4 linked regions of the Coturnix japonica genome follow. The protein of the gene in region 4 interacts with the protein of the main gene of each other region in a pairwise test. Links are inferred from orthologs where the notes say so. Each region holds a gene or a part of one and is shown on either strand. Other genes may lie near its edges.

Region 1 (4,601 bases), on a different chromosome or scaffold from region 4:
AGTATTAGTAGAATATGTTAAAAAATTAGAAAATCCTAACTATCTAAACACACTCACTGTATTAATTTGACCTTAAACTTTGGTAAGTTCTCTATTCAATTAACCACTGTGCTTGAGCATACAGCTTATGTTAATCACTCAAATATTTTCTTTAACAGATAATAGAACCAGCAGCAGGAAGAAACACCCACCCAGAATGGCATTCTCCTGTACATGTGTGTGAATTAAACGTGCAAGGCTGTATTAGCCTGTATGATGACCAGGGTCTCAATACTGTGCCATTTGTACCTGTTAATCCAAAGCAAGCTTTATATCAAAAATAATACTGTTAAATCCTTCTCAAAATCTTCCAGTTAAACAAACTCTGAACCACACAGCATCACTGTCAAACCCACTTCATAATCCCTGTTTCCTTTCATGAGCATTCAGAACAAATGGCAATTGCCACATCCTGTTGTCTTTGCTGAGAAATGGCAGCACTTAACTCCCAAAACAACAAAGAGAAACACGCACAGGAGACCTGAAATTATATTTATAGGAATTATGTACCTTCTATAAACTAAAAATTCAGTTTAATTTTTTGATACAGAACTGATTGTTAATAATCGCTAATTAATTACGTACTTCCACACAGCTCTATGACACATTCATTACACTAAAGCTTTCCTGATAAGATGTTGTAAAGGAGAAACACTTCCATTTTCACACACCAAACAGGTTGTTTTCCAACCAAATATCCCCTAAGCAATCTCCCAAATCATAAATACAGATAAAACAACGGTTTTAAATCAACAGGATATACAAGTGCTCTGTTTTGGATGCAGAATCCCAAGTCACAAGCAAATCTGTACATCTACATCTCATTCCTGCCATATTAAAATAAATAAATAAATAAATAAAAGTATCACATCCGTGATAAGATTGACCTTGAACACATAGTCTAAAAATCACTATCTTGCAACAGCACCAAATATTATGAACGCGGAATGCATATGTACTTGTTTCATAGCACAACATATTATGAAACAAATAAAATCAAGAATGTTTCCATTACACTGAAGGCAAAGCAGCAGAACCTGAAATTGCTCTACATCAGTTTTCGAACCAAGCAATACTGCAACATCATACATAAAGAAGGACAAGCGTGATCCCTCGTTCTTTAGTCAAAGATCAGCCTTGATAAATCCAGTGTTAGATTACAAATCAGTTACATAGCAAAAGAGATGGAAGATCTACTGGCCTTTAGAGACAAAAAAATAAGTACCTAGGGGAACAGTGGATAGATTTGCATTGTTTTCCAATGCACTACAAAATAACAACTGAATCATGGTTTTTATCTAGTTGGATATGTAATGTATTTTAGATAATTTTCACAAACATTATTCTTAGTTAGTACTTAATCTACATAAGAGGCAAGGAAAATAATGTTTTAGTAAATAATTGTTATGAAACCTCAGAAACATAAGAATGTATTAAGAATTTGGTATAATAAAACCTCACTTTACAAGTCAAACATCTGTGACTGGGCGATCATCTAAAGGGCACTATCCGAAGCAAGTATTTCCTCCCAAAGTTTTGAGAGTAATACATGCTACATTACAGAGCGCTGATAGGATAAACAGCTACAGAGGTACACTGCCGTAACAGACAAAATACATGTCCTGCTGTAATGGCCTAGTAAGCCCCCTTCTTGTATCCTACAGTCGTATGGTGCAATGTGAAAAACAATTCCTTCTGACTTAGAATCTAGAGGCAGGGGATAAACTCACACACACTGTTAAGTAAAGGACAAACTCCTCCTGCAACCAAACACATTTCAAACACTGCACACTTATTTTTCTCACTATTTTACATCAAAGTTATTCCTGATCTTTGAAATTGTTTTATAAACTTCACAAATTATCCCTTGGGATTAAAGTAACTTTTCAGGATCTGCCATATTGGTTTCAAGAGTTGTTATCTTCAGATGTCCTTCTAATCACTGCACTGCAAGTCATTGCTCAATATATATTGCTCATATATACATACATTGTGTATATATTATATATACATATATACACACATTTATTTTTCCTGTTTCCAGTGCAACTTGATGGCATAAATCTTGCTTAAGTTGCTATGACAGATTGCAAACTGTGATAGACGAAGACCTGGCAAACGTTCTACCATCTCAATACAGGGGAGAAAGGGACCAGAAGCATCAGTCAGAAGTGCAAGATGGATATCTGAAGAGGATAAGCTGCTAAAACATCACTAGTCTACCAGAACTCAAATGCTGGCAGGTAAGAATGTAACTGGACAGCTGGAAATGACTTTGAGTGAGTAATCTGAAGAGTCACAACAGCTAAGACAGGTAACCAAACCCCTACCCACCCATCGTTCAGCACAGCATGCAGTGAAAGGGCTTTAAGTTGTCACACAAAGAACACACTCCAAATATCAGTGTTTCCAAAACCTTTATTCTGTTCCATAATTACTGCAATCCTCCTGAGGGCATGCAGCAGCTCTAATATCAACTCTATTACCTCCCCAAGACACAAGCTCACCACCTGACGCCAGACCTTCAAACTGCCATCTAACTGCAAAAGCACGACTGCACTTCTATTGCCTCCACAGAAAGACATCTGTGCTTCCATGAAGGAAGATGAGTTCACTTGTAAATTATTGATGGCAATTATTAAGTTGTTACTGGCAGCTTCTCTCGATAAGAGCCTCCCACCACTGCCGCGCTATCTGCTACATAATTCATCAACACTAAAACCCCAAGCAGCCTACAGTACCACGCACGCAACCCCACCGTTCCCGTTGTCACCTGCAGACATGACAGCCTCCCTTACTTACTGCAGAATTTTCTCCCTATACTTTAAACCCATCCCCGAAGAGTCCCACGGACAGAGAAGCAGAGATGCCCGCCCAAAAAGGCGAGTACAGCAGGAGCGGGTCCACGGCTGACCCGGCCCCGGTCCTCCCTTCCTCCCACCCTGTACTCACCTGCCCCGCCAGCCCGGCCAGGGAGCGCAGGGCGCTACTCGCCACCTCCGAGGCCACCAGCTTGGCTCCAGCCTCCGGAGAGCGCTCGCCGAGCTCCGTCAGGCCGGGCGCCGCCGCCATGACAGCAGCACGGGCCGCAGCCGGCAGCGACATGCCCCGCGTCGCTCAGCGATGACGAACGATGATGGACAGGAGCAGCAGCCAATGTTGCGGCCGTGATGGCGGCTCTCCGGGTGTACGGTGTTGGCAGCGTCCGACTGCTGCCCAGCACCTAAAGGCCCCAGGACTCCCAGCACAACTCATCACCTTGCCCTTCTCTTTGCCTCCTGTCCCTTTCTATCCTTCAGCTGCGTCCACAGTGGTAGTGCCTTGACTGAGTGCATTCATGGAAAGAGGGACGTGTGTTAATTCTAAGCATACTAAGCATACCAAATGATTGTACTTCTTTTTCAGCCTTACTTTTCTGCTTATTACTAACTTTTGTACACTCATGAGTTTATCTTCAAAGCCTTGACTCCTCAAGTTGCAGCAGGGTAGCTCTGTCGCCATACAATGAGGAACAAGTTTGTCACACTATATTTGTAGGGCAAGACTACTTCCTCCTCTGCAATCTGCTCACCTTCTTTCTTAGGACAGCAGCAGTGCTGATGAAAGTTTTCTACCTGGTGTTTCTTTTTGTCACTTAATTTCTGTCTTTTACCATTTTCCTGTTTCCTCCCCCAGATTTCCTTTACAATCATTTCTCTTGATTCATTTCATACTTCCTGTCTCTTGAAAAGGGTATTCCTAGGCTTATGAGCCAATTCTCCATCTCTGGTATAAAGGGAGACCACATAGCTCTGCAGGACAGACCAATCTCGACATTTTAGCTTTTTTCCCTATCATGCATTTTTCATGTCCAAAGGGAGATCATTTAGTAAACAACAACAGAATACTGAGGGTAGAAGCAAATCCAATTCTGCAAGTCACAATCAGACAAGATGGGCAGAGGATACCCACTTATCAACCAGACTTATGTTTTCCATTTCTTGAGGTATTAAGCCTTCTGAGATGCTGGGAAAGCACTGAAATCTTTGGTATTGTTTCATTTTCAGTCCCATCACACTTGGTTTTTGTTGTTGTCGTTGTTGTTTGGATGGTTGGTTGGTTGTTGGTCTTTCATTCCAAGTTCCAGCAGCAATTCCAGCAGCACAGCAGCAGGTTTTAGCTGCCATGGCTGACTTAACCCTTTGAAAATGGTAGCATGTCTGAACTGCTATAGGATCATGAGCAGGTTCTGGAGCTTCAACCAAAAGGGAATGTCTGCTCAATTCCAGAGGCAAATTACTGACTTAAGAGCTAATGATTTAAAAAATATATTTCATGGAAATATGTGCTTTACAAGAGATATGTTACCCAAACTGAGCTACATCACACTTGGCTGGATTCAGATCATGTGAACCATTATGTCTTCTCTCAGAGAAAACGTGCTGTTTCCTACTGGTAAAGAGACCACAGAATTTCTTCCCACTTTCAGTCTCTCAAAAAGCCTCAATCCATGTTGCAGCTGCTAGCTGAATAAATTTGTTACCATTTGAAATTTCACAGATTATGATACATTATGCAAACAT
Region 2 (3,935 bases), on a different chromosome or scaffold from region 4:
GGACTACTCTACTCAGGTTTTGTTGTTCCCTCCTCCCCCCCTCTTTTAATTTCCTCTTTTAATCATTAATTCTTGTTAATTCTGAGACTGCAACTACATAAAACCAACATGCATCAATGCTCGCAAACACCCAAGGGTGTAAATTTGAACATCTATATAGCTGTATGCACATCAAAGATTCTTGCTACAGCAAGCTACCATCCTTCAGCCTACATGCAACAAGTACCTTATTACAGTAAGAAATACAGCTCCAGATGTAATATCTCCAGAACAGCTTAGAGCTGTCTACCTTCTTCAGTTCCACACCAGTACTTACTGTTTGGGGGTAGGAGAGTGGGCGTAGTCTGTCATAGTCCTCTTGACCAGCTGTATCCCACAGGCCCAGATTGACTGGTTTGCCATCAACCATTACATTAGCAGAGTAGTTGTCAAAGCTAAAAAATAAAAGTTAGCTGCATTTGATTGTAGTCAAATTGGGCACCTAAGTATTTCTTCCTGCAGAGTCATAACTAGGAAAGCTATAACACTGCACTTCTGTGCAGCACACACAGATGCTTGGCCAGATGTTATGATGGCACTGAGTGGTGTGTGCCCACAATTCAGGAGGCTCAGTGAGGAAGCTGGACCAGCAGGAAGCACCAGTGGGTTGACAGGAATGTTTTTAGAATGTTGTAAGTACTTACACTGTGGGTATATATTCCCCAGGAAACGCATTGGTTGTGTAACTGATGAGTAGGCATGTTTTACCTACAGCACTGCAAAAAAGAGAAAGTTTACATGTAAAGAACATTCATCTCAAATAGCAAGCAATAATATTCCTCTTAGGGAAGAAAACTAATTACACCCAGTCACCTAAGGAACAATTGAGAGTGCCAGTAGAAAATATTACACACAAAAACAAGTAAGAGGCTGTAGCCTTAAGGTTACTGCTAGTGTGGAAACACAGCTAATATAAACATCCATTCTGTTACCCTTAGTTTTATTTTACATAAGTTTGAAGAAAGCTTGAAACCACATCATTTCTCAGCATATCATTATTTTTGCTGAAGTGAGAACAATACAAATGGCAGTGCTCACCATGATTATTGCTACTGCAAAGTGACTCCCGGCATGCATTCACCAAGCACTTCACTGGCTGCCTTACAGATAAACTGCATTCCAACAATGAAGACAGCACCCAAACCGCCCCACAGCCCACCCCACTGCCCTTCTCAGACACACTCCTGCACAAGTTGACTGGCACCGCCTCACAAATCACTTTCTCACACTTAAGTCAAGCCAGTAGGAACTTCCTAATCTTGCTGTACATACAGACAAACCTTGCTGTTAGCAGCAGCTTGGACTCTCAAGCCTCCTGATTCAAGTCTATCACAAACTGAAGGAACTCATGAAAGCTTTAGTCTAAAACCACAGCTAGTATTAACAGCAAAGGAAATATTACCAGAAACCAAATGCTACTGCTAAAAATACACTGTAATCCTTTCGCTTTTGCAGAAGACAAAGACAACTCTCAGAAATGAGCATTAGTCATGGGCTCATAGCTCTCCTGCTGCAAACAACTGAGGCGTTCCTATCTGAATTTTAGCAACTGTTTTACATTTGAATCATAGCATTTCTTTTCTTTCTGGAGAACCTTGGACTGCTACTTCATACACCTAAGATCAGCTTCAAAATGCTATTTAAAATCACTTAACACTCAATGTTAGCCCATCAGCCCTACCTAGTGACTCACAGTTCGAGGGATGTTAAGTACCTCTACCATAGCTGAACCCAGGAACAGCTCAGTGCCACTTAACCCAGGAGGGCCATGGCAACCCCTGACAACAGCACCACACACATTCAAGCCATGAAAGAGGAGTTGCTTCACTGTGCACAGCATTGCCACAGATTTTTAGCCTCCGTGCCTATTAATTGCACTTTTGTTCCTGAGCAGAATGTCCCACTAATCACAGCACACGGTGGCAGTTTCCTGCCCTGCTTTGCACACATGCTCTAAGGAAACAATCTGATTTTCTTCTTTTTCTTCCAGCATACACCCTCCTGAACCGAGCTGGCAGAACTGAACACCAGAATTTTCCTCTGCTCGAGCAAACTACGACCTGCAGATGTTTTCCTGTCGCAACACGCTTGACACACTCATGTACAGAGCAGCACAGAGATTTATCACGCAAAAACTTCTGTGGGAGAAATCTGGGAGCTGCGTGCCATGCAGCTAAGCTGGCTTAACAGCTGCCAGCAGAGGAGATCCCGTGCTGTCCCCATTGCAGGGGCACTGGGCTGACTGCTAACAAGCCACTATGCGGAGGGAAAGCTCCACATTCCCCCAAGGACAACCTGCTGCTCACATCCTTGGGATGCTTCATCAGCCACCGTGTGCTGCTGACTGCTGTCAGCGAGCTATAAAGCAGGCTCTGCCAGTCCTACCGACCAAGGACAAACGTGAAAACCCTCAAACACTGGAAGCAGCAAGGAGCACATTCCCTAGGAAACTTCCTGAGGCTCAGAGCTACGTGCTCATGTGCTTCCAGAACCTGGCTGGTCTGATGCTTCGCTTTCCAGTGGGTTCATTACAGACAACAAAAGCTTATAACAAATTCATATGGAACTCCACATTTTCAGCAGAGGCCCAGGAACCTGTCTCAGCGCTCAAGTTTCTTTGCTCACCCTGCTCTGAAACCGGTGAGTCTGCTCTGGCTAATAGAACAGCACAGGGAGGTGGTGACAGGTTTCATTCCATGCTGAGAAGCGCCTGCCTGCAGCATGTATCTGCAGCACAATCAGGCAGCCACTTGAACAAGAAAAAACACGTTCAACAACCCTGTTTCAGGCCTGCTCCGTTCCAGGCTTCCTGCTTCCCTTGCCTTCTGGCTCACTGCCCCACAAATCGGGTATTACAGTTACCAATCCTCAAAATGAACTTCAATACCTATCTTTGCAATGAAGCACAACCTCTGAGTACTTACAGCTTTTCTCTAAGCTGACCAACTTCTGTGATAAGGAACTTAGAACTGCACTTGTTTTGCGAAGTATAAATCCTTGCACATAAAGACGTAGACTCTGAGATACTTCCAAACCAAACTTAGTCATAACAAAATTTCGAGCAACTGCTTAATCACAGCTCTGTCCACCCACCATTGCATCAAATGAAACTGGTAACATTTGACTGCAATTAAAAACATGGCCAACAGAAATTCAGCATTTTAATGAGTTGCAGTGAATTGCTTTCTGACACCTTCTAGGAACCAGTCTTTGTAAAGCCACATATGTTGTTCCTGGAAACAAGGCACGCCATCCCTTTCTTACACTAAGCGGTTCTGCAGAGCTCCCCATGTTCCTGCTGCTGGCAGACACGTATGTGACTCGCTCTGAACGCCATCAGACAATGTGTGCCAGCATTTCCTCCATCCTGCAGGCACCAGAGCTGCACAGATGCTGCACTCTCCTCCTCTCCCACGACTAAAACCCAACTGCACGAATTTAGTTGCTGTTTGCAGCCACAGGAATGGAGGCGGAGGCCAGCTGAAGTAATTGCTGTTTAATTCCAGAAATGTTGATATCTGCAAACAGGTGGCAGCCTTCTGAAAGCCTCTGACAACATCCTTCCTCTCTCAGCTGCATGAACCAGCTCCACCCCAGGCGTGCTGCATGGCTCAGGTCTCCATTCACATCAAGCAGCAGATGGGACATCACCAGCACTGTCCTTGGACAGAATTGCCATGTTTTTGCTACAGCAGAGGTTTAGATATATGCCACTTTTCCAGGTGAGCTGCTTTTCTCGCTGTGACACCCATCTCCCCAATATACCGCTCAGCATTTCCAGTACTACCCAATGTGTAGAAGTGCAATAGCAGAAGTTCCTACACTTGGAGTCGCTGCACTCTCCATAGGTGGCACTGGAGAGCAGAGGTGCTCGGAACCTCACCCTGCACTCAGTA
Region 3 (4,364 bases), on a different chromosome or scaffold from region 4:
CTTGTTTTGAATGGTGCATTTAACGCAACTGGTAACTGCAAATCTACATTGCCTATGTGAGTAAACATTATAGACAGCTCTGGTAGACCTTATGGAATTCTGCACTACATTGACCTTTGCTTTCTTTGTTACCTTGGCCAAGGTATTTTACTATGCCTTAGTACTCAGTTGCGTTACGTCTTTCCTTCGAAGTGGATGTGGAAAGCTCACTGAGGACCATAGGAGGGGTGGACTGAGTCCGGGTTGATAGAAAATCTCTCTGAACATTGAGAGCTTTGAGCCGATGGCTGGATGTGACTTTGTTTTCCTGTTTCCTTTAATTTGACTCCTTTAGCCAGCGAAGTTGCGTTAGAGCTCAATGAAAAGCCTCTTTATTTTGCAGCGTTGTGGAATGGCTGCAGTGCAGAATCCCATAAGGCCGAGGCGTGCCATCAGTGTGGTCATTTAAATATATTTAAAACAATGCACAAATCTGCTGCTGCTTCGAACACTGCAGCTTCTAAACTCGATTTCCTTTGTTCGAACACTGCAGCTTCAAAACCCTTCGACTGATTTCAACTTACAAAGACAGACAATTGTGCCTGAAGTGAACCCGTATATTTTGTTCTTTGCAGCCGGCACCCCTTGTACTGTACGAGAATCAACCCTTAGGCTTTCATAGCTGTATTGAAACTCATCAAGGTGAAATAGTCGATGTCTGTGTGCTTCCCCCCCCGACCCCGGTCACACTTTATCAAGAGAACGGAACGATCTGAGCGTTAGAGCCCAACGATCAGCAGTTCCTCCCTGGGATAGAGGCCGTACTGTGGTTCATTTCCTTTCGTTCCATGTTACCTCTATTCTCAATGTAGGGTTTTTTCTCTCTGGGAGATGCGTTTATCTTTGTAAAACAAACAAAAAAAAAAAAACATTTGCTTTTCTCCAAGTTGGTTTTTTTTTTTTTTTTTTGTTTTTTTTTTTTTTTTTTTTTTTTGGTTTTCTGTTAATGGCAAAGAATGGAAATAGAATAAAGTTTTACTGATTTTGAACAACGCTTTTCTCCTCCCCGTGTCTCTGTTGTTGGGCGTCGCCTCCACACAACCACAACCACCATCATAACAACCATTACAGCCGCCATCTTAGCCGCCATCTTTACCCCCCCATCCTGGTCAGCTGCTGGAGGTCACGTGCCCGAGAGCATCGGATGCACTTCCGGCGCTGTTTGATGACGACACACCGGGACCGGAAGCCGGAAGCTTTGCAGCAGGGTGTTCCGCGTTCGCGGTGCGGGATCCCTCAGTCGTGGTGGTGGCGGGGCCGGGAGCGGCCGGAGCGGGGCGGCTCCGCGTTGAGCTGCCGGGAGGGCGATGACCGAGTACAAACTGGTGGTGGTGGGAGCCGGCGGCGTCGGGAAGAGCGCGCTGACCATCCAGCTCATCCAGAACCACTTCGTGGACGAGTACGACCCCACCATTGAGGTGAGAGCGGGGGGACGGGGTGGGAACGGGCCGGGAGGGGAGAGATGGGAGAGAATGGGGGGGTAGGGTGGGAGAATAGAGCGGAGACTGGGGGGATAGGATGGGAATGGAATGGGGATAGGATGGGAATAGGATGGGGATAGGACAAGAATAGAGTGGGAATAGAATGGGAATAGGATGGGAATAGGATGGGGATAGTATGGGGATAGAATGGGGATAGAATGGGGATAGAATGGGGATAGAATGGGGATAGAATGGGGATAGAATGGGAATAGGACGGGAATAGAGTGGGTATAGGACAGGAATAGAGTGGGAATTGAATGGGAATAGGACAGTAATAAAACTGCTGTGTGGGGTTACAGATATAACAAGGTACGGCTGTGAGGGGTTACAGCCCTCCAGGCATGGAGAGGTGCAGGAAGGAGCAGCATCTTGTCTCTATCGGATTAATTCCCTTGTGTTCGGGATTAATTCCCTTGTGTTTGGGATTAATTCCCTTGTGTTTGGGATTAATTCCCTTGTGTTCTGTGCAGGATTCGTACAGGAAGCAGGTTGTCATCGATGGGGAGACGTGTTTGCTGGACATCCTGGACACTGCGGGGCAGGAGGAGTACAGCGCTATGAGGGATCAGTACATGAGGACGGGGGAGGGATTCCTGTGTGTGTTCGCCATTAACAACAGCAAATCGTTCGCTGATATCAACCTGTACAGGTACGGGCTGAGTCTTTGCTGTGAGGAGGAAAGGCTGGAAATGGCGTCATTTTAGTGTGAGGCTTTGGGTTAAAACAGCTTTTATTTGAGGAAAATAACCCGTGTTTTTTAACTTTTAAGAGAGCAAATCAAGAGAGTGAAGGACTCGGACGATGTGCCCATGGTGCTGGTTGGGAATAAGTGTGATCTGCCCACGAGGACGGTAGACACAAAACAAGCCCAAGAGTTGGCAAAGAGCTACGGCATCCCCTTCATAGAGACATCAGCTAAAACGAGACAGGTAGGGTGCTTCTGTCCGTTGTATGTTAAACAAGGAACGGTTTAGCTCTTTCCTGTTGTCTTCTTCATTGTTAGAATCACAGAATTGTAGGGGTTGGAAGGGACTCCTAGAGACCATCAAGTCCAACCCCCCCTTAAATGGAAGAGTAAATGCTTCTAAGGCAGTTTGAGATCTGTAGCTTTTGATTGAATACACCACGGGATCCTGGTGGCCTCGTGAGATTTGGGATTAAAGGGGTTTCATGTGAATCTTTGCCTCTGCAGGGTGTGGAGGATGCGTTTTACACACTGGTGAGGGAGATCCGGCAGTACCGGATGAAAAAGCTCAACAGCAACGAAGATGGGAATCAAGGCTGTATGGGGTTGTCCTGCATTGTGATGTGATAAGGTGAGCTCTGCTTTTTTCCTTGTCTGTGAGCCTTCCAGCTGTTGATAAGCACAGTAAAGATCAGTATAGAAGCTAATTAGAGGCACCTTTCTATTCCAGATGCCAGGTTCAGATGTAGCTGCTGGACAAGTCTCGATGCTACTGTATTGTGTCTCATGCTGATGCCCTGCAGTATTTTGGTGCCAGCGACCAGACTCTTGGTACCAGTTAATTAGCACAGGATCCTTTTCTGTGCTCCATCTGAAGGCAACATCTCTGGTATCTACCTCCTTGCTCAGCTCACAGAGCGCTCATATCTCTTGGTGTACTGGGATTCTTTTCTAGCTGTGTCGTCTGGGTTTGTTCAAGAAGAAAACCAGTCACAAGAACAGTGAATTACAGAGACTAAATGCTGTGAAAAAGATCATTTTACCTCCAGAGTAAAAGCTCCAAGTGGCGTTTGACCCCTTTGCATTGGATTCAGATTTGCGGTGTGGTCAGAGGAGCAGCAGAAGTCATTTTGCCATTATAAAGGTTTGTCACCAATCGGATCTGCTGTCTGCACATCCACACGGTGTATCTGCAGCATCTCATTGTGCCAGGAGGATCATTGAACCGAGCAACCGATCCTTGGTTTTTCTGTAATAAAAGGAGAAATCTTCGCTATCTTAAGTGCCTGTTTGCTCCAAAGGTTGAAGGCTGGACGCTGCTCCCTTGGGCTGAGGAGAACCCCAAGGATGAATCTCCTGGGTGCTCGTTGTCTCCGCAGGCAGGTTGTGTGTGGGTGATCTTTACTCATGGCAGGACACTCAGATGGAATTTGCAGCCTGGCAGATGGATCAAATGTTTGTGAGACTCTTGAATTAGGGAGGCCACACCTGTTCTTAGTCCATCAGAATGGATCCCTGCACCTCTTTGTGTGTGGATCTGGGTATGTTCTGAACTGCTTTTCTACAGCATTTGGATCTCTTTCCGGTTGGACCAAATTAACGAGCCGTTCATTTTAACGTAACTGCCGATATTTACAGACCATTTCTTATGGACAGATACTGAATTGAGAAACTGGAGGTTCCTTTGGGCAGCTGCTCCTCAGCTCTGTCTGTAACTTGCAAATTACTCTGAGTTATTTTCTCCAGAGCCTCCTTCCTTATCACGGGAGGGGTCTGGGAGTTGAGCTTGACTGTAATTGGGTCAATGGTTGTGACAGATTTAAGGTGTCCAGGCGGAGTGGAGGAGGCGCTGAGCCCTGACAGAGCACTGAGCTGATTTCTGATTGCAGCATCCCTGCAAAATGAGGAAGGGAGTTCAGTGGTGTCTGCACTGAAGATGCGCAACGCTCTGATGGCAGTTCTGGGTTTGCTGTAACAGCCTCCAGGTAGGACCCAAGTGCTGTGTGAGCTGGGTGATTTCCTCCCACATCGCAGCACTGTCACCCCATGGGGTTGGGTGACACCAGCAGCCACCAGCTCCCTGAGCACCGCGGCCTTCTCAGTTCTTGTGCCTGCAGTGCTGGGTTCTGTTCTGTGCTGTTGGGTTCCTGGGTGAGAGA
Region 4 (4,487 bases):
GCTAACACCACAGAAGTCAACTGCAAAATCCTGCTGATGTCAGAATGAAAGACGTGGTGAATCGCACGGCTACAGCAGTATAAATGGACAAACCTCAGAGCATCCCTCTTGTGCTGCACAGAAGGGACAGCAAATGATTCTTTGCTTGTCATGCCCCACTGCCCCTTATGCAGAACAGCTCCCGAGCCCTTTTCCAGCGAGGACCCCCCGGAAGCTGCCGACTGCCACTCGTGCAAACCGAGGCTGACTCAGCTGCAGCTCCTTTTATCCCCTCGCTCATCCTTGCTGTGTCCGCTGCCCATGTCTATGGAGCAACAAGACTCTATGACTCTTTCGTCCTACTCTGCCTAACCGCACCGTGGCATTTACTCGAGTTAAACTGTGAATAAGGAAAGATTTGAAGAAAGCGAAGACGCTCAGGGCGTTAACGCATTGTTAACACAAAGGCTCCCAATGAAAGCTAAGACTGTAAAAGTAAGCGTTCCCGATTGCTTGCTGCGTTACAAAGAGTGAACATCCCAGGGCACAGAGGAAGGGGGAATGCAGAGATTCATTTTCTTGTTAAAAATGTCCTCCGCACACAACTACCGGGGCAGAAGCCTTTCGCTTTCGGCCGCACGGTTTCCAGCATCGCTACAACAAAACGTACGGCTTAAGGCAACCGCTCTTTGCCCGGCAGCTCCCTCCCTTCTTCCGCCGATCTGTGCTCACAGGGTCCATCTCACACCGCTCGCCCCCTGACTCAGCCCTCCCTTCGGACAAAGGGCCGCCAGACAGAGCCCGAGGAGCTCGCCGACAGCCCCCCATCCTCCAAGCCACCACCCCTAAGCCCCGCTAACAAAGGCGGCGCGGGACCGCCGCAACCCCCGCCGGCACCGCCCTCGGTTCCCTCCTTCTCCGCCCCTCCCGCGGCCGGGCCGGTCCCGCACCGCCTCCTCCGTGCCCGCCCGCCCCTCCCCGGCGGCGGCAGCGGCACGGCAGGGTGCCGCCGGGCGGGCGGGGTGTCTCCCAGGCGGCCTTGCCCGGATGTGCTACCCTGACTCATAGCCGCGCCGCACGCAGCCACCGCGCCGCTGCCGCGCTCTCCCCGCTCCGTTCCGCGCACGGCTCTCCCGAGCCTCCCCGAGAGGCGGCGGCTCCGGGAGGAGGGGAAGGAGGAGGAGGCCGCGGCGCCACCATGGGTGAGTCCCCGCTGCGCAGCCCTCGCTGCCGCCCCTCTGCCCCCAGAGGCCGCCGCCCGAGCTCGGTGCAACTTCCCCGCCGGCTGCGGGGCTCGGAACGCGCGGCCCCCGCGGCGCAAAGTTTGCGCTGCGCCCCGATCCGCGCAGGCCGGGCCGCCCCGATCCGCACGCGGAGGGCGAGGGGAGAGGGCGGCTCGGGGCACGGAGTTACGTAAGGCGGCCCCGGGACCTCGCCGACCGCTGCTGGCGTGACGGAGGCCGTCGGGGTAGCGCGCTGGGAAGGTTGCGCCGCGGTCCTTGTCCGCTGTTGGAGAAAGACGTGAGGATCTTCGTGTTGCTCCGGCTGTGAGGCAGAGCGTTACTTGTGCCTCTGAATGCAGCCATGTTACTTCTGCCTTTTTGTGTTTGTAGGTTGGTTTTTTTCCCCCCCCGTTTCTTAATGTTGTAAATTAAGTAGTTTCGCACCGATCGCCACTTGGATGGAGCTTCCAGCGAACCCCGCGTGAACCCAGGGAGCGCAGCGTTCCATTGCCTTTACAGAGCGCTCGTTGGGTTTCTCCTCGCTTCCCCTCCCCTCCTCCTCTTTACACAGTACGGCGCCCAGCAGCCACCGTCAGTTTCCCCGCACAGCTGGCTGCAGTGTGGACGCTGAGGCAGGGATGGCCCTGCCGGTCCGCGTTTCACTGCGCTCTGGGTCGTGGATGCCCGGGGCTAGGAGCCGTGTGTGCTTTGCAGGCAGGGCAGGGTGCTGGCTGTGCCTGACTTTGGCTCAGGGCTTTGACATCAGCACTTCCTGCAGCCTCAGGTGCTGCACTGTTTAGTTTCTTTTTGCAGATCACGCACATCTTTCCCTTTCAACTAGAAGTTTCCATGGGAAGAAGCGCTTGCAGTGCCTCAGTTTTCGTGGCCATGGAATGGGATAGATACTTGTTTGCTTCCTTTAAAGAGATGGAGAACTTCTGGAGAACCTTGGCAGATGGAAGCTGCTGTGGTCAGGTGTGAAGGAGAGCTGTCAGGCTTGCTCAGAATAAGGAACAACTCTAACAGTGTAGCAAAGGCCTCTTTTTTTTTGCATCGAGACACAAGGATTTAGTAAGAATATATTTCCTGTCTCTGTTCACAAATTCTGGCTGCTAATCTGAGTGTTCTGGTCAGAATACAGATGTGACCAACTATTTTGGCTCCCAAAAAACCTTCACAGAGTTCGCTAAAACCTCCTCAGAAAAGCTGATACAGAATCAGTGCAGTGCTCTGTTTCAGATGAGACTACATCTCAGCTGCAGACAAGTTTGAAAACAGCTTGAGGATCTGCTCCAGCCTGCTCTATAAGTAAGAGTCGTTCAAATGTTCTCAGGGAGACTGAATTTTTCTCTAGAATCTGTCATCGCCTGCCCATAACTGACCAGAGGTTGCTTGTGAAAATACAGGGGAAACCTTTGTTTCCCCACTCCTGTGCATTCTGGAACCTGACTCCTTTGCTTTTAAGAATCCAAGCAAACTACAGCCTCTGCAGCAGCTCTTGTTGCTCCAAAGACTGAAATCAGTTTCACCTTGGCTAGCAGCTAACTGTGCCTTCTGCTGCTGAAGATCTATGTTCAAGCTCATACAATCAATGCAATAACTTCCCCCATTCTGCTTATAGCATTCTTTTGGGTACTGCGTCGCATTACAGCTGCAAATCCCTAGAATTAAAGTCAGGATGAATATTTGCAGTATTTAATTTGTTCTTCCTATGGCTTGCACTACATCCCATAAATCATGGTCAACAAACAGGCGTTTGTAGCAAGAATGCAGTAATGCCTTGCAGTTAAATGTATGCTTTATTCTGTGTTCGAAAAGGCAGGCTTAGTATTAGCTGATCTGTATACTGGTGATATAAAATGGAAAACCAAGTAAGTATATTTTAATTCCAGTCATAAGATTTCTGCCACTAAAAATATTTGTGTATATATAGATCTGCATTATCTTTGCTGTGTAGAAATCTCTCTGTTGCCACTTCAGCCCCAAGTGTGTATTCCTCTCGTGGCAGTCATTTCCTCCTAGAGGACTGTGGCTTCCTCTCATTAATATCAGTTCTTCCCAAAATTGTCACTTTTTTTGCTTGTGCTTATGTAGTTTTTGAAGTCACATACATGGAATGGTGCAGTTTCAACACCATTCATCTCTTGGCTTTGTGAAACAAGCTGCTGAAGTGCTCCTGGTAGCAAAATACTGAGTACTTGAGGCTTACGTGTGCTGTGCTTCTATTCTTACAAGAACAATTATAGGTTTTTACTTTTCAGTTGCTGACTGTGCCTCAGTTTCCTGCTGAACAGCCCCTTTCTCTGGTCAGTTTTCATCTTTTAACCTCCAAAACCACAACCAGCATGTTCTGTCATGAACTTCTTGTGGCCAGGCAGGTTTTACTGTTTTCAGGCAGTAGTCATTCTACAAATGAGAATCCATACGATATATCAGTATTATGCATTGACCACTCAACACTTATGCACTGGCCCAAAAGGTGTAGAAACATCATTCGTGAGAGCTTATATACCGAACAGAAATACAGATTACACACAAAATTATTTTTATGGTATGTATCAGTTGCAGGCTGAAATATAGATGTTATGATCAGTAGAAGTGTTTCCAAGCACCAGTTGTGTTAGCAAGAAATGGAAGGGGGCCTCTGTTCTAATGAAGTTTAACATGTACCTGTGTGCTTAACTGGGCAATGAAAGCAACCTGCCAGTTTCACAAGGAGGTCAGGGAACTTCTTGCAATACCTAACACTAATATCATAGTGACGAGATGCAGGAGATACACAGGCTATAATGTAAATGGCTGTTGTGCATTTAGTTACAGCTGTCAGAACAAAGGCTTATGTTGCCCCTCTCCTCCCAGGGCACTGTATTTTCTCTCCTAGTTTCCACACAGAAGTACCACAATTGTCAAGCTTTGTGGCCAGCCTGGTGGCTGTGAGCTCCAGATCAGAATGTCAGAAGCCACTACCTGTGTTCATGATATTAGCTCCCTCAGTAAAGGTGTCAGAAGGGAGTGAATGTTCAGGCGTGGCTGTGTGCAGTACCACTTTTGGGTAGATGGGAATAAGCCTGTGTGGTTTTTGTGAGTAATCAATAGCCTTACATAGGAGAGGAATGAAAAAGTCCTCCTTGAAAAGAATTCTGCTAGTTTTCTTTCAAGAGATGCAAGTCAACTTCATAGATCACTTGTAAAAGTGATACAGTTATTGCACAAAAAGATAATTTTTAATTACTCTAAAGGTTTTGCAAGAACAGTGGGACTTTGTATAACACTAGCATATTAGTT

Evidence for each region.
Region 1: the proteins of RAP1GDS1 (region 4) and MBIP interact in binary tests that used the Homo sapiens proteins (3 or more experiments, as listed by UniProt). The two-hybrid records come from large-scale screens. The link is inferred for Coturnix japonica from reciprocal best matches to the Homo sapiens genes RAP1GDS1 and MBIP.
Region 2: the proteins of RAP1GDS1 (region 4) and RAC1 interact in binary tests that used the Homo sapiens proteins (3 or more experiments, as listed by UniProt). The link is inferred for Coturnix japonica from reciprocal best matches to the Homo sapiens genes RAP1GDS1 and RAC1.
Region 3: the proteins of RAP1GDS1 (region 4) and NRAS interact in binary tests that used the Homo sapiens proteins (3 or more experiments, as listed by UniProt). The link is inferred for Coturnix japonica from reciprocal best matches to the Homo sapiens genes RAP1GDS1 and NRAS.

Annotation. Positions count from the first base shown.
Region 1 is NC_029520.1:33,103,121-33,107,721, forward strand, and holds the start of MBIP (MAP3K12-binding inhibitory protein 1), read right to left. Parts: upstream 3,166-4,601; 5' UTR 3,145-3,165; coding exon 2,992-3,144; intron 289-2,991; exon of another isoform or gene 216-288; coding exon of another isoform or gene 192-215; intron 1-191. UniProt on the Homo sapiens protein: Inhibits the MAP3K12 activity to induce the activation of the JNK/SAPK pathway. Component of the ATAC complex, a complex with histone acetyltransferase activity on histones H3 and H4.
Region 2 is NC_029529.1:8,459,496-8,463,430, forward strand, and holds part of RAC1 (ras-related C3 botulinum toxin substrate 1), read right to left. Parts: intron 756-3,935; coding exon 684-755; intron 435-683; coding exon 317-434; intron 1-316. UniProt on the Homo sapiens protein: Plasma membrane-associated small GTPase which cycles between active GTP-bound and inactive GDP-bound states.
Region 3 is NC_029541.1:3,904,650-3,909,013, reverse strand, and holds the start of NRAS (GTPase NRas), read left to right. Parts: upstream 1-1,204; 5' UTR 1,205-1,346; coding exon 1,347-1,457; intron 1,458-1,990; coding exon 1,991-2,169; intron 2,170-2,289; coding exon 2,290-2,449; intron 2,450-2,712; coding exon 2,713-2,832; 3' UTR 2,833-2,836; intron 2,837-2,935; 3' UTR 2,936-4,364. UniProt on the Homo sapiens protein: Ras proteins bind GDP/GTP and possess intrinsic GTPase activity.
Region 4 is NC_029519.1:53,686,335-53,690,821, forward strand, and holds the start of RAP1GDS1 (rap1 GTPase-GDP dissociation stimulator 1), read left to right. Parts: upstream 1-1,540; 5' UTR 1,541-1,555; coding exon 1,556-1,592; intron 1,593-4,487. UniProt on the Homo sapiens protein: Acts as a GEF (guanine nucleotide exchange factor) for the Rho family of small GTP-binding proteins (G proteins) that stimulates the dissociation of GDP to enable subsequent binding of GTP.